4 linked regions of the Saccharomyces cerevisiae S288C genome follow. The protein of the gene in region 3 purifies or fractionates together with the protein of the main gene of each other region. This does not show direct contact. Each region holds a gene or a part of one and is shown on either strand. Other genes may lie near its edges. The genes, in order: RDS3, LEA1, RSE1 and HSH49.

Region 1 (2,879 bases), on a different chromosome or scaffold from region 3:
TATTTGTAATAAGAGAAAGCTTACCATTTTGCAGAGGATGGAAAGACTTAGGTCTATAAAATCAGCCAAATGGGAGAAATTGAAAAAATTTGAAAGCACTCTGATGCTTATGGGAAAATGTGTTCCTATTAGCACAAAGACTAAGACAGATATGATAAACCGCATAAGACAGCTGGCTGTCAGAATGGACTGGTTAATCTACGAAATTAAGAGAAGCGAGCTGTTTGTAAGTATCATAAAAGAAGTGACTCGCAAGCAGGCTGAAAAGAATATCTTAGAGCATGGTAAAGGAGAAGAGGAGGGGCAAGGCAATAACGACGATAGTGATGGTATAGATGATATAGAGGAAAGCTTCTTATTCAACGAGAACAGTTTGCAAGTGTGCGTGAGCGACAGTAGTTACGACGAATATAGTAACGAATAAGGGGAAGAAAATAGTACCATGGGTTATAAATGCATGTTATTTATTTATATATTTTTACATATTCTATATGTATGTGTTATACCTTTTTCTTTTTCTCGAAATGTCTATCCAGTCTATTGCTGCCAAGGTTTAAGATCCTAGGACAGCCATCTTTATCTTTACCTAAGCGGCAGCACTCCCAACAATAGAATGCGTCATTGACTCCAACATTTAGATTACAAATTATACAATTTTTAGCTTGTTTACCAAACGAACAGTTTTCACATACTCTAACTTTCCTTTTGGGCCTTACATAAGAGTCGCAGATAGGACATTTGCCATCACATTTTTCACAAAGAAGACCTGTCTGTACACCAGGCTGCTTTAGGCACATTATTAGATCAAACTGATGGCGGGACATGTTTTTTTTGTTGGAGGCTTGTATGTGTGTGGATCTTTTTTGTATCCATCTTCATTTTCTATGTTGAATGCCTTAGTAAGTGAGAAATATGGCAAGTAATGCATATATGGAAGAACAGAAAGTGAGAAAAAAAAATAGAAAAAAAGATGCAAGGAGTTGAGCCAAGGGAGAGACCATACCCTCAGCCAAATATCCAAATATCATATAAAAAGATGGAAGAGTGTCCTATTTGTTTGGCAGATGACCAAGAGGGTGAACAATTTGGATGTTTGAACGTTTGCGGGCATAAATTCCACTTAAACTGTATAAGAGAGTGGCACAAGTATAGTATCAACTTGAAGTGCCCCATCTGCAGGGTTGAATCCACCCATTTAGAAGTTGGCGAAGGGCAACATGCACTTTCTATAAATTTGAAGATGGGGTTTATGATTAAGAATGCTATCGATTATGTGGGGGCCGAAACAACTAACGAAAGAAATGAGGACGATACAGGGGAGCAAGACCAAGAAATAGAATTTCTCAGCGAAAGGCTTAGAGGTACGCTGGTGATGGATACCATTAAGATAATTCAGTGCAGCATATGCGGAGACACAGATGTTTCTCGATTAAGCCTGTATTGCCAAGACTGCGAAGCAATATATCACGAAACATGTCTACGCGGGCTAGCTTGTGAGGTGGGCGATCGCAATACGTGGCAGGAGTGCACAGATTGTAGATCAAATGCATTGCTCGAGCTGCGCATGGGTGCTATCAGTAGCCAACTTGCTAGCTACGATTCCAGGAATTCCATGATTTTTGCTGGTGAGTTACGGGACAAGCACAGCGTCAAGACACAGCAGATGTATGAACAGATACGGAATGCCAAGCACAAAATCCAGATGCACGTGCGACGAGCACTGGACCGGTACCCACTGCCTCTGCTGCGCTTCAAGGATGCCTACAAGCACGTCAACAAGCAAGTATCCCGCAAGTTGTACCGTCTCTCTGACAACAAGTACCTGCCTGACCAGTACGATTACGACTCTTTAGCCCGAACTGGAGTGCACACAGAACTCCTAATTTACTGTCATGATGAGTAGTAATGCAATATAACATTAAAACAAGATATAAACAGTATAATACTCTAGTATGAGCCCTAAAAAAAACCCTCAGAAGCGGGTGACCCATCTCTCGTACGACGTATAAAAGCACAAGTTTGACCCATAGAATTTTTTTTTCACATCTTCCTTTGTTTGCTTCTTCGTCTTCAATAGAAAACAGTTGAACAAACTCAAATATAGCACCATTGTGAGTGCTACTGCACTACAAAGAGGCAGATTAAGCGACCAGTAGGTCCCTTGGAAGAGATAATATATGAGTTCCTTTTTTCTTTTTCCATTTTCTTTCTGTGTGACTCCCCTATGATTAAAAATTATTAATCATATACCAATTGTTCCGACTGAATAGTGGTTTAACTACATGTCGACAACCCTTTTTCGTTAAGTTTCAGCCTTGTATGAGGGGTGCCACGGAAGGGAAGAAAAGAAAGCATTTATCTTTCATTATTATCTTTTTCATGCCTGCAATGGAATTTTTAATTTTCCTTTTGATATGATGATTTGTTGTCGACCGGGCGGACATATTAGTATCTGTTAAAGGGTCGCCGTCTACTCTCATCGTTCTTTTGTGTACAAATTTTTTAAAGGAGCGATGTTGATGGCATTATGGTTCTTTAGTGGAGAATTGATGATTGGTCACAAGACATCTGATTTTTTCGGAAATTTGTTTCTTATTTCAATTTATTCCTTATCAGTTGATTTGGATGATAAAAGAGACTGTTGCGGACTAGTTTATTATGATGATTTTTTTATATTCACACTGTACTAGATTGGTCTCTTTAACGAAGGGGCTAATTGATGACTACAAAATAAAAAATAACTGATTTAATGACTCTGAAAAACTAGTTCTACAACCTAACTAATCTTGCACCCTATGTAGCCCTTTAAATAACTCTTGGTTCTCTTCCCTTTAGATCTTTCATTTTTGCACCTAATTGGTATGGCACATTTTTCAGTT
Region 2 (2,829 bases), on a different chromosome or scaffold from region 3:
AGACAGTATTTCACTGCAATTGCCCTTTATACAAGCAAATTGGCCGTAAGTGAGCAAAGTGTTGTTTAGACAGAGCCTTGTTTCAGTGGCGCTGTACCCGACCGGGTCAAAGGTGATGGGTCTATTTACTTCATTATAAGCATTAATTGCGGCTTTTAGCATTTCAATAGGTGCCACTGATCCGGTATTTAACAGTAAAGAAGCATTTGGGATTCTTGCTAGTTCAGATACTTCACTTTCAATTTCAGACATGATAGGAGATGAGCCTAAAGCTAGAGTGACATTGGCACCAAAATTTTGATGAACCTTATTGGTGATATGTTGCACTAATGGACGATTGTTTGATACTTGAGATATAACGTTTTGAATTGAAGTTGTGGTCGGAAATGTATTATTTAACTCGCACTCAACAAATTGGTATCTGGTAGCATCTAACAAGCCTCTCAACCTCTTGGTTGCTGCACATGCATCTGGAGCGGCCATAATATCGCTGACTAGAGAGATACCATCCAACGATCTCTTTCCATTTGAAGCAACACATTGACAAAGCACACGTTGAATATTGTCAGGATGAAGACCACCAATACCAACGGTTCTACACCATGTAGCTTTAAATTCCTCCAAAGCATCCAAAATGGCAATGGCGCCTTGAGGACCCATGGGTGATTTCTTAGGATTTTTCTTTGTTGATGTAGGGAAAAGAGTACCAACACCAATATAATCTACCATATCTGGCCCCCATTTAGCCAATGTCTCTACCTCCGAAGGTTTACCAACACTCCATCCAAGAATTTTAGAAGGGCCCAAAAGTTTTCTTACCATTGGGATTGGCATATCGTCCTGGCCCACATGAACCCCATCGGCGTCAATTGCCATAGCGACGTCTATACGGTCATTGATAATAAGTGGAACATTGTACTTCTTACATATTTTTTGAACTTCTAAAGCCTCTGCAACGAAATTTTTTGTTTCAATATCCTTTTCACGGATTTGAACTAGCGTTACACCATTTTTCAACCCAGCTTCAACCTGAGAACATAAAGTAGTTCCCGGTGGAAGCATGGTAGAATCTGTAACCAGATATAATGAGTAATCAACTTCTTCCTTAGTAAATACCATTTCCGCTGTTTGATTTAAATAATTTAGCTTCAGAGTGATTTGGTCTTGAGAACCATGGTTAGATCGAAAACTAGGCGCTTCCACAAGTAAATGGATGCGTTGCCGCTATAAATATATGTAGTATTGATTTTGTTACACCTGCTAAATAGGTTCTTACGATTGCCTTTTTCCTATAATATGCATAAATTATGTTGCCCTAAAAGAGTGAAATAAACCTTATCTATCTTTTTTTTGTTCCTGGTTTTCAAAGTTGATTTTCGACAGACCCTAGTTAATTATAGGAAAAAGCCCTATTAGTCTTTTTCTTATCATAGATGACATTTACTTATATTAGGCCAATCGCATACTCTGCATCCAACAAGCCTTCAACAGGTCGAAGTGAAACTACAGGACTTGGAAAATATCAGTTTTTATAAGCAATAATGAAGTTCACCCCTAGCATAGTTATTGATGCTCCGCAATATTATGTTGATCATTTTAATGGCAAGTATAACGTGGATAAATGTGTTATTTTAAGAGACCTGCAGCTAGAAACGGATTCAGAATCCATGCCATCCAGCTTAAAGCATTTGACCAAACCTACGCACATCTTGGATTTGACAAACAATGACCTTATCATGATTCCAGATCTATCAAGAAGAGACGATATACATACATTACTGTTGGGCCGAAACAATATCGTTGAAGTAGACGGTCGCCTATTGCCTATGAATGTACAGAACCTTACATTATCGAATAACAGCATAAGAAGGTTTGAAGATCTTCAAAGGTTGCGTAGAGCGCCCAGGACGTTGAAGAATCTAACTTTAATAGGGAATCAAGTATGTCATTTAGCCAATTATAGAGAACATGTACTTCGATTAGTACCGCATTTAGAGACTTTAGACTTTCAAAACGTAACAGCTGAGGAAAGAAAGAGCGCAATGAGCTTTCCAAGGCAGGCGGACGGCGATACGTTGGGCCCAGTAAATACTGCAATAAGAGATAATGGATCCAGAGATAAAACGATGGAGATCATGAATTTGGTGGTGAGTAAGATGACAGTAGAGAGAAGAAATGAATTGAAAAAGCAGTTAGCAGAAGCTACTTCTTTAGAAGAGATTGCCAGGCTGGAAAAACTACTCTCTGGTGGTGTTTAATCTTTTGGTTAGTGCGACTGTTCAATGACTTAAAAAAAAAGAATTATAAATTATTCTGTGCCATTATATAATAATATATAAAACGAAAACAAATAATGGTGCTCTATAAACATTAGAGGACAATGTCAATTTCAATGTCAATGCCTTAGAAATTAAAGTTGGTAAGAAAGAAGGAAAGGGCAACCTAATTAGCTGCCGCTTCCGGTTGTACTTCAGGTTCGTTGCTCTGAGTGGTGCTGGATATTTCAGCCTTTTTACTAGCAGCTTCCTCCTCTTCCATTCTTTTTCTTTGCTTAATCTTCTTATTGCTCTCGGGCGCATCAGTAAGACCTGGGATACCCTTAGCTGTCAAGAATTCGAAGATACTCTTTTGCACAGCAGGTCCCGATTTATCGGCAGTTTCTTCTCCCTGTGCTCCAGTAACCTTGTTGAAACTATCAATATAACTAAAGAACGCATTAAAAACATTTTCGTCCACCTCTTCCTTGTAGATCTTATCGTAGATATGCTTCATTTTGAACTTATCCACTTCGTCTTGATATTTGGAAAAATCGATCGCCTTGTAACCAAA
Region 3 (6,188 bases):
AAACAAAAAAAAGCACTACGAAAACAGTAGATTCGTGAGGAATTGAAAAAAAGAGTGAAAAAACTAATAAAAACAACGAGAGTAAATAGGATAGTACAAAAATACTAGGAGTAAAAAAAGGCCCTCTAGTAGTAGTAATAGTAATAGTAATAGTAGTAGTACTAGTAGTAGTAGTAGTAGTTAAAGGCTATGGTTGAATAAAAAAAAAGTCTGGATGGTAGTGTTTTGGTTTTACAATTAATTAGATTTTTTCAAATCATTCTTTTTTATACCAAAAGTAGCATCATTGTTTGATGCTTTCTCTTTCTCATCAGCAATTTCTCTTCTGAGCTTAACTAGCGAGGCCAGTTTTTCATCTGGTTCATAAATACCAAACCTTCTAAACCTCCTAATTTCAGCATTCATCTTACCAATATCCCCGTCATACTCTTCCAAGATCTTCTTTAGATTGTTTTCCAGCTCCACAAAGTATTCTTCACTTAAAATGAATTTCCGTTCGGTTTTAATAGCCGTGAAAGTGGAAGCAGTGAACCTATCTTCTAGAGGACTTTGGAAACCCTCTCCAGCCACAAGTTGGATACCTGGTGCTGCAGCTTTCCTAATCGCGCCCGCTCTATAAGCAGCAACTGCACCACCCATCTTATCTATGACATAGTTGTAATAGTTAGTCTGGTAATCGTCGTAAGTAGCTCTCTTAGCACCAATCCAGCCCAGAGAGCGCAAACGTGTCTTTAAGTCAGTAGTGTTGTTATTGCCGCCAGAATTCTTAGCGCCGTTAGCAGAAGGAGAAGTTAAATCTCTCAAACTCCATAACTTGTAAGGATTGAAGCTGATGGGGTTGGCAATGCCTAATTTGAGGAATAAAGTAATTATGCCCACTTTGAAAATGTGCATGACAAAGAAAAGCCATTGAGCTACGAGACTAGAATAGTTTGCCTGAACTTCTTGTTCGAGTTTAGCGGCAATTTCAGGTAAATCCATGTGCTTGGCTACAGGAATCAATAGTCTAGACAATTGATTAGTCAAACAAATACCTGGGGTTGGAGAAATGGCGTCGGGCAAATCGGTATATAGCCAGGCCAACATAATAATGGTGTATACCCATATGTTTTTCTTGGATAGCTTCCACTCCGGAACAACTAGCTGACCAGGCCACAACTGGTCAATAAGCGGCTTGGAGTCATTCAACTCCTCGAGATTTTCTTCGTTATCAGCTTCATAATGGAACATCAAACAACCACCTTCGGACAGGTACCCTGGATGGATAGACTTATAGAACTTTACGGGCTCCTTCTCATGGAAAATTGATGGTCTCAGCACCATTAAGTCCGCCAAACCCGTCTTGGAAGGGAAAATCTTCTTAATTTTGTTATTTATGGTGTCTTCATTTGACACCTGAAACGCATAGTCGTGCTCGACATCTGCGTTAAGTCTAATGTAAATCTCCATGCTTGCAATCGCCCTCTATCAAAACAAAGTCCACCGATCTCTGCTGCCCCTCTCTAAAAAGGAAAACAATGGCACCATTAGCTTCTTTTCTCGCTTTTTTATAATATTTTCCATCATTAAATGTGGGGAGGTGGCAAAATGGCAGTAGTAAGCTTGTCGCCCCACACGGCGAAGATGCGTAAACTATTTGGGCAAGCTAGCACAACGATGGCTTATGACGGTTTAAAACGAGAGGCTGAAAGAAGAACAAGGAGTGACCATAACATAACAATGGTTGCTAAAGATGATGAGCTATACTTGTACCATCTTACTTTAAAGAAACAGACGAATTTCGTGCACTCCTGCATCGGACACTTCGTCGATCTGGAAGCAGGGTCCAAGCGTGAGCAGTCGCAATTGTGCGTAGCTACTGAGACGCATTTAGAACTTTATGATACTGCAGATGGGGAACTAAAGCTTATTGCCAAGTTTCAAAACCTGTTTGCGACGATAACCTCGATGAAGTCGCTGGATCTGCCGCATTCAGGGTCAAGGGCAAAAGCTTCCAACTGGCCCACTTTTCTAGCGCTAACTTCCGATTCTGGTAACCTAAGTATCGTGCAAATCATTATGCATGCAGGTGCTCTTAGACTTAAGACTTTAGTGAACCAGCCATTGACGAGGACCACCCTTCGAAGAGTCTCTCCCATATCATACATGGAAATTGACCCTAATGGGCGTTGTATCATTCTCTCATCTGTCGAACAAAATAAATTGTGTTTCCTCGTTGATTATGCTCAAAAATTGAGGATTTCGTCTCCATTGGAAATCATCAGACCCCATATGGTAACGCTGGATATGGCAGTTGTTGATGTAAATTTCAATAATCCATGTTTTGTTACCTTAGAAATCGACAATGCCGCTACTCAACTATCAGTACACTTGATATTTTATGTCCTCGAGTTGGGTTTGAATCACATCGTCAAGAAGGCAGATTATTTAGTTAACCCATCTGCCAATTTCGTACTGAGTTTGCCAGATCTATCGCGATATAATATAACAACTTCGCTAAGCGACAACAACTATGATGCTGACTATGATACCCTTTTCAACCCTTTTGTTGTCATAGGCTTCGAAAATCATATTCTGGTAAAGGATATGAACGGATTTTTCAGCCTGAAAGTGGAAATACCCAAAAGATCTATCACAAATAGCCGTCATAAAAATGTAACAATCATATCAGGCATAGTGCAGAAATTGAAAAATGATTTTTTCGTACTTTTACAATCTAACCATGGCGATCTTTTTAAGTTAACTGTAAGTCCAGACACTAATGATAGAAATAGACCTTTAGTTCAATTGTCCTACTTTGATACAATCCAAAATTCACACCAATTACACATTTTCAAAAACGGTTATCTTTTTGCACTATCTGAAATGAATAACAACTTTCTTTTCCAGTTTGAGAAACTTGGTGTAGAGAAAAATGATTTTTCTAATGTTTTAACCTCAAAAGATCCAAATAAGTCGCTAGTTTTCGAACCATCCATAAAGTTGCAGAATTTGAGCATATTATCGCAACAATTGAATTTGAACCCTTCAATAAAATCTCAAATTGTCAGTGATTCGCCACTGTCTATCGCCACTAAACATTTTACAAACAACAAGATAATAACTTTAACAAATGCTGTGAATTACTCTAATTTGATATCTACTAGTTTACCCCCGAACGCAACCAAGTTATGGCTAATACCCGATCCTGCAACAACCGGCGATAACAATACTCTTTTGTTCATAACTTTTCCCAAGAAAACTATGATACTACAAATTGACAACGAGTCCATGGAGGAACTAACACCGGATGAAGCAACGCGTTCAGCTTTCAAGCTCTCTCAGGACACAACAATTCATACATGCCTAATGGGCTCACACTCTATTATCCAAGTATGCACCGCAGAACTAAGACATATCGTACCGACTGGTAAATCTAGGTATTCTAATAAGCTGACTTGGGTGCCACCAGCGGGAATTCGTATTGTATGTGCCACGTCCTCGAAAACACAACTAATTATATCATTATCAAATTACGAATTGGTTTATTTCAAGATAGATGTATCTTCGGATTCGTTAATCGAATTAACCACCCACCCAGAATTGGACACAATGCCCTCTAAAGTTGCGATTGTGCAAGATACGCAGCATGCTGATTTATTAGCCATTGCTGACAATGAGGGTATGATCAAAATAATGTCTCTTAAAGACCAAAAGGAAGATTTTTTAACTGTAATAAGTTTGCAATTAGTTAGTGAAAAGATTTCTGACATGATAATGGTTAGAGATTCCTCAATAGGACAGCTTAATTTGCATGTAGGTTTAGAAAATGGCGTTTACATGAAATTTCATATAGGGGATGTTGACGGATCGTTCACTGACATAAAAAGGCGATTCCTTGGCTTGAAGCCTGTTTCCCTTTCGTATTTGCGTGAGATATCTGTATCACTAAATAATGAGGAAGAAGAAGAAGAAGAAGAAGACGATGATGATGAAAAAGAAGAAGAAGAAATAAATAGTAGTGGAGCTAAATGGATGTCATGCGTGGTTTGCCATTCCTCTTCTACATGGGTAAGCTACACGTGGAAAAATGTGTGGACCATACGGCAGTTAAAGGATCAAAACATGCTAAGTTGTTCCAAATTTGTTAACGCAGATGTTGCAATCAACGGTGTTTGTTCAATATCGAGCTCAGGACGCTTAAATATTGGCAGAGTTTCCAACTTTCCAACTTTGGATAACTGGTTTCACGTTCATGAATCAAGTGTTAACAAGCAAGAGAACGGTGGAGGAGATGAAAGCAATGAAGAGGAAGAAGATGAAATGGAAGAAGAAATGGAAATGTTACAAATATCTACATTCCGACCTCGTACTATTTTATCATTTCCCAATAATCCGAAAAGCATTTTGTTTATTGATAATCACAGTGGTAAGAAACAATGCCGTATATCACTGCAAATTGATGGTGAATGCTTAAAGTTTGGCAGTTCGGATCATTTATACAAGATACTGGACGATATCGATTGCGTTTCCGCTGCTATAATAGATTTCACAAGACAAGCTGATCATTTGATCATTTGTGCTGGCGACAAAAGGCTGTTAACATACAAGATATTAGTTAACAAAGATAAACTATCTTTTGATATTGAATTACTTCACCAAACAGAAATCATTTCACCAATACATGCTATGTTGAAGTTTAAAAACTTCTTGCTGACAGCCATGGGCTCCACTATTGTCCTTTATGGTTTGGGGAAAAAGCAATTATTAAGAAGGTCCGTAACACAGACCCCGGTATCCATAACAAAAATTGTGTCTATGCACCAGTGGAATTATGAAAGACTGGCCGTTGGTGATATACATGAATCTGTCACTTTATTTATCTGGGATCCTGCGGGGAATGTATTTATTCCGTACGTAGATGACTCTGTAAAACGCCATGTGACGGTATTGAAATTTCTAGATGAGGCAACTGTTATAGGCGCTGATAGATATGGAAATGCGTGGACTTTAAGGTCTCCACCAGAGTGCGAAAAAATCATGTCAAATCATGATCCCAGCGAATTATCTAATGGGGCCATCAAGTACCCACTAGACGTCATCACTTTACAGCAGAAATTACCCAATACTTATGATTGCAAGTTCAAGTTTCAACTACTGAACCACTTCTTTGTTAATGATATCATCACTGATTTCCATATCCTGGACAGCCTTTCAAATTCTGATAGACCTGGTTGTATCTATATGGGCTTACAAGGAACCGTGGGATGCTTTATCCCCTTATTATCCAAGGGGAATGTTTTTATGATGGGAAACATTGAGAATATAATGGCTGAGGCGGATGATACGTTTTATTTAGATTATGAATCAAGAAAGAAGAATAACAATATGCGTAAGGAAGACGATGAAGAGGAATCTGGAAGTGTTGTGTTACAAGGACGGCATGGTATAGAGGATGAAATAATATGTGAGGGTTCCTGTTCCATTTTAGGTAGAGACCACCAAGAATACAGAAGCTATTATGCCCCTGTACGTAAAGTTATTGATGGTGATTTATGTGAAAATTTCCTGAGACTTTCCTTGAATGAGCAGGAATTTTTGGCCAAAAATTTAAAGAGTGTACAAGTGGAGGATATAATTCAAACAATCAACGAAGTCAGAACAAATTACATGTAATGATTTTACAGTAATAATACCAAGTATAAAGGCGTGTTAATGTATTTTCTTAATAAATATATGTACAAGGAATATATGATAGCTTTAAATATAAGAAATATAAAATTTCACCTCATCTTTATTTCTGTTTTAAAAGGAAACCGTTTTAATTCATCGATATGCCACCTCTGTACATTTCGTCGATGATTTTACCGTTTTCCAAGTTTTCACATAACAGCTTCAAGTTGTGTGGGTAAACTTTACCAAACCATAATGAATCCAGCTTGTTTTGCATCTTTTCTCTGCCGAATAGTTTATAGAAAATGACATTACCAGCAAAAATATGACCCCCAATATGAGAAATTAAGGCTAGATTATTCTCAGGAAAAAGCTTTTCATCTTGAAATGCTGCAATTATGTCGGGTCCCATTTCTCCACACTTAGCATCTCTCTTATAATGCCCACAGACTAAGTTCCAATCTCTTAGAAAAGTTTCACCCTGAAACCTTGTAAGCTTTCTATGATGCACTTCATGAACCTGTTGGGAAGCCTTG
Region 4 (2,847 bases), on a different chromosome or scaffold from region 3:
AGACTAAGCCAGTTGGTATTATTGTACCAAATCATGCTCCATTAACGAAGCTTGCTAAAAAGTTGGGAATTATGGAACAAAAAGACAGTTCAATTAATATCGAAAATTATTTGGAGGATGCAAAATTGATTAAAGCTGTTTATTCTGATCTTTTGAAGACAGGTAAAGACCAAGGTTTGGTTGGCATTGAATTACTAGCAGGCATAGTGTTCTTTGACGGCGAATGGACTCCACAAAACGGTTTTGTTACGTCCGCTCAGAAATTGAAAAGAAAAGACATTTTGAATGCTGTCAAAGATAAAGTTGACGCCGTTTATAGTTCGTCTTAATGGATCAACATTTCCATGATAGGAAAGCCTCATCATACTAAAGCACTTTTTCAGTTTTTTGCTTTAGAACTGCTACCAATTATAAAATAGAATGCACAGGTTATCTTGTTTGGTTTGTTATTATCCTTTTTTCTTCTTTACCAGTCATATCACCTCATTCACGTATGTTCGTAATTTATAATGTTAAAAATGGCATATATAGATATATTTATGAACATCCTAAAAAATAACTAAATTTTTCTACATTTCAAAAAAGGTAACGTTGACTGCCGCATGGCAGTCTAATTAGGAGCTTAGTGATACATATATATATATATATAAATTTCGGCCAAGACACCTCACATAAGAAGCATTACCAGAGGTGTCCTGATCTGAGATGGACCCTGTCTCATTTGTTGAGTTGACAAAATATCAGGGAAATTGATTACCCTGGTGTGCACTGACTCCTTAGTACTCATTTTCACAGCTTCGTACACATCATGGAAGACAAACCATAGCAACCAGCCGCTCTCATTCAATCTCGCATAGACTGGAAGAAGAAGCTCCAGAAGCATATCCATTCCTTGCAAAACGTTCGTTTCTGCGTGCCTGTCTTCTCCACTTTTGTCTCGGTCAGCCAACAGGCACGTGGTGGGTGTGCCTGGAGATTAGAAATTGTAGTTCCTCAGATTATGTAAATTTTCTCAACAAATTTACTAGGACAAAGAAATGACGTAGTAAGAGTACTAAGTATCAAGATTGTTGAGGTGTTCCGTTGTTAGTACTTTTTTACGAGCACGCGAAGTTGACACATTGTGTCTGGCAGATGGGAACTAATTTACTAATCAATTTGCAGCAGTACGCTATCATGTGATGAAATATATTCCCGTTGGATTAACCATAGTCTAATAGACAGTAATATCGAGGACTCAGGGACTACGCCATTTATTTACTTGGAATAATTTGCCTGCCCATTCAATAAAATTATGAAAATTGTGACGTTCATACACATGCTGATGAAATGAGTATTTCTTTTAGTTGAAAATCCAACAAATTCCTCATTAACGCCGTTTTCCCACTTCTATTTACTGGCTTTTCTTTCAAAACGAGGGGATTTATTCTTGGCGTTGTTGAAATTTTCACATTTCCAGAAGATTTATTCGGCGTTTATTTTTCTAATCCAGATTTAACAAAGAGAACAAAATCCCACTCGTTACCCTGCCTTGAATTGTCAGATGGCCTTATTTATTTATTTGTTACCCGCAGATGTGGATATAAGACGGAAATGGATAGTAAAGCTAAAACGACTCTTCAAGCAGAAATTACCGAGATGAGGTAAAAATGAATGGGCAAAATAGCTAGCCAAGAACAGCGCAATCATTCTAAGATTAACATTGATGAACTACAGCGCAGACTCTGGTAATACAGTTTATGTGGGGAATATAGATCCAAGGATAACGAAAGAACAACTTTATGAACTCTTCATTCAGATCAACCCTGTTTTAAGGATTAAGTATCCGAAAGATAAAGTTCTACAAGCTTACCAAGGCTACGCATTCATCGAATTTTATAATCAAGGAGATGCTCAATATGCAATAAAAATAATGAATAATACCGTTAGATTATACGACCGACTGATAAAGGTTCGTCAAGTAACCAATTCTACAGGAACAACTAATTTACCTTCAAATATTTCTAAGGACATGATTCTACCTATTGCTAAGTTGTTCATAAAAAACCTTGCAGATTCGATAGATAGCGACCAATTAGTGAAAATTTTCAATAAATTTGGTAAGCTCATAAGGGAACCCGAAATTTTCTACCTATCAAACGGAAAATTAAAGTGTGCTTATGTTTATTTTGAGGACTTTGAAAAAGCAGATTTGGCAATAAAATCTTTGAACAATCAGTTAGTCGCCAACAACAGAATTACTGTTGATTATGCCTTCAAAGAAAATGGAAAAGGTAACGCAAAATACGGTGATGACGTTGACAGGCTGTTGAATAAAGAAGCATTAAAGCACAACATGTTGAAATAAGATCCCGCTCTCACCTAGTACATACCTTACCCGTTAGAAAATGCGATAACGGACACAATCTTGGCAGAAACATTATCAATACTATGATATATATATATGCGTTTCCGACTATACTAATTTTTACACTTTTTGAAAATTTTCACTTCTCCTCATAATCAAACGAGGCAGATTTCCCTGGACTGTATGTAAGAAGCGTACACCGAGTTCCAAAGGTCACAAGCTTGGTGCTCTAGCTTTGAATCCTCCGCGTCTTCTTCTTTAACGATACATTCAAACTCCTTCATTGATGGATAATTCCAGGGCTTGGCCAATGGATAATCCGAAAAATGTATGTACTTAGAATATGCGACACTGTCGTTTAATCCTACCGGAATATCGTTGCCATCATTATCCAATGTCTTATAACCCAAAACGTCATTATAGATTATAGAATAGTGCCGTGGGTTTCTCAATGAACCCGTCAGTAAGCCGTACCTTGCAAATGGCAAAACCAATACTTC

The links.
Region 1: the proteins of RSE1 (region 3) and RDS3 purify together in Saccharomyces cerevisiae (affinity purification with mass spectrometry; 5 studies listed by BioGRID). This does not show direct contact.
Region 2: the proteins of RSE1 (region 3) and LEA1 purify together in Saccharomyces cerevisiae (affinity purification with mass spectrometry; 5 studies listed by BioGRID). This does not show direct contact.
Region 4: the proteins of RSE1 (region 3) and HSH49 purify together in Saccharomyces cerevisiae (affinity purification with mass spectrometry; 6 studies listed by BioGRID). This does not show direct contact.

The regions. Positions count from the first base shown.
Region 1 is NC_001148.4:718,582-721,460, reverse strand, and holds RDS3 (U2 snRNP complex subunit RDS3), read right to left. Parts: upstream 825-2,879; coding exon 501-824; downstream 1-500. Other genes in the region: Arf family guanine nucleotide exchange factor SYT1, read left to right, coding at 1-424; ubiquitin-protein ligase ASR1, read left to right, coding at 1,037-1,903. UniProt on the Saccharomyces cerevisiae protein: Required for pre-mRNA splicing. Involved in regulation of drug sensitivity and may play a role in multidrug resistance.
Region 2 is NC_001148.4:149,073-151,901, forward strand, and holds LEA1 (U2 snRNP complex subunit LEA1), read left to right. Parts: upstream 1-1,541; coding exon 1,542-2,258; downstream 2,259-2,829. Other genes in the region: THI6 (bifunctional hydroxyethylthiazole kinase/thiamine-phosphate diphosphorylase), read right to left, coding at 1-1,119; pseudouridine synthase PUS1, read right to left, coding at 2,443-2,829. UniProt on the Saccharomyces cerevisiae protein: Involved in pre-mRNA splicing. Associates to U2 snRNA in a MSL1 dependent manner and is required for normal accumulation of U2 snRNA. Required for the spliceosome assembly and the efficient addition of U2 snRNP onto the pre-mRNA.
Region 3 is NC_001145.3:173,687-179,874, reverse strand, and holds RSE1 (U2 snRNP complex subunit RSE1), read left to right. Parts: upstream 1-1,569; coding exon 1,570-5,655; downstream 5,656-6,188. Other genes in the region: GSF2 (Gsf2p), read right to left, coding at 238-1,449; AIM32 (Aim32p), read right to left, coding at 5,801-6,188. UniProt on the Saccharomyces cerevisiae protein: Involved in G2/M transition. Required for pre-mRNA splicing and endoplasmic reticulum (ER) to Golgi secretion pathway. U2 snRNPs associated protein required for the pre-spliceosome assembly.
Region 4 is NC_001147.6:911,117-913,963, forward strand, and holds HSH49 (U2 snRNP complex subunit HSH49), read left to right. Parts: upstream 1-1,705; coding exon 1,706-2,347; downstream 2,348-2,847. Other genes in the region: long-chain fatty acid-CoA ligase FAA1, read left to right, coding at 1-329; GNT1 (glucose N-acetyltransferase), read right to left, coding at 2,503-2,847. UniProt on the Saccharomyces cerevisiae protein: Possible SF3b-like factor.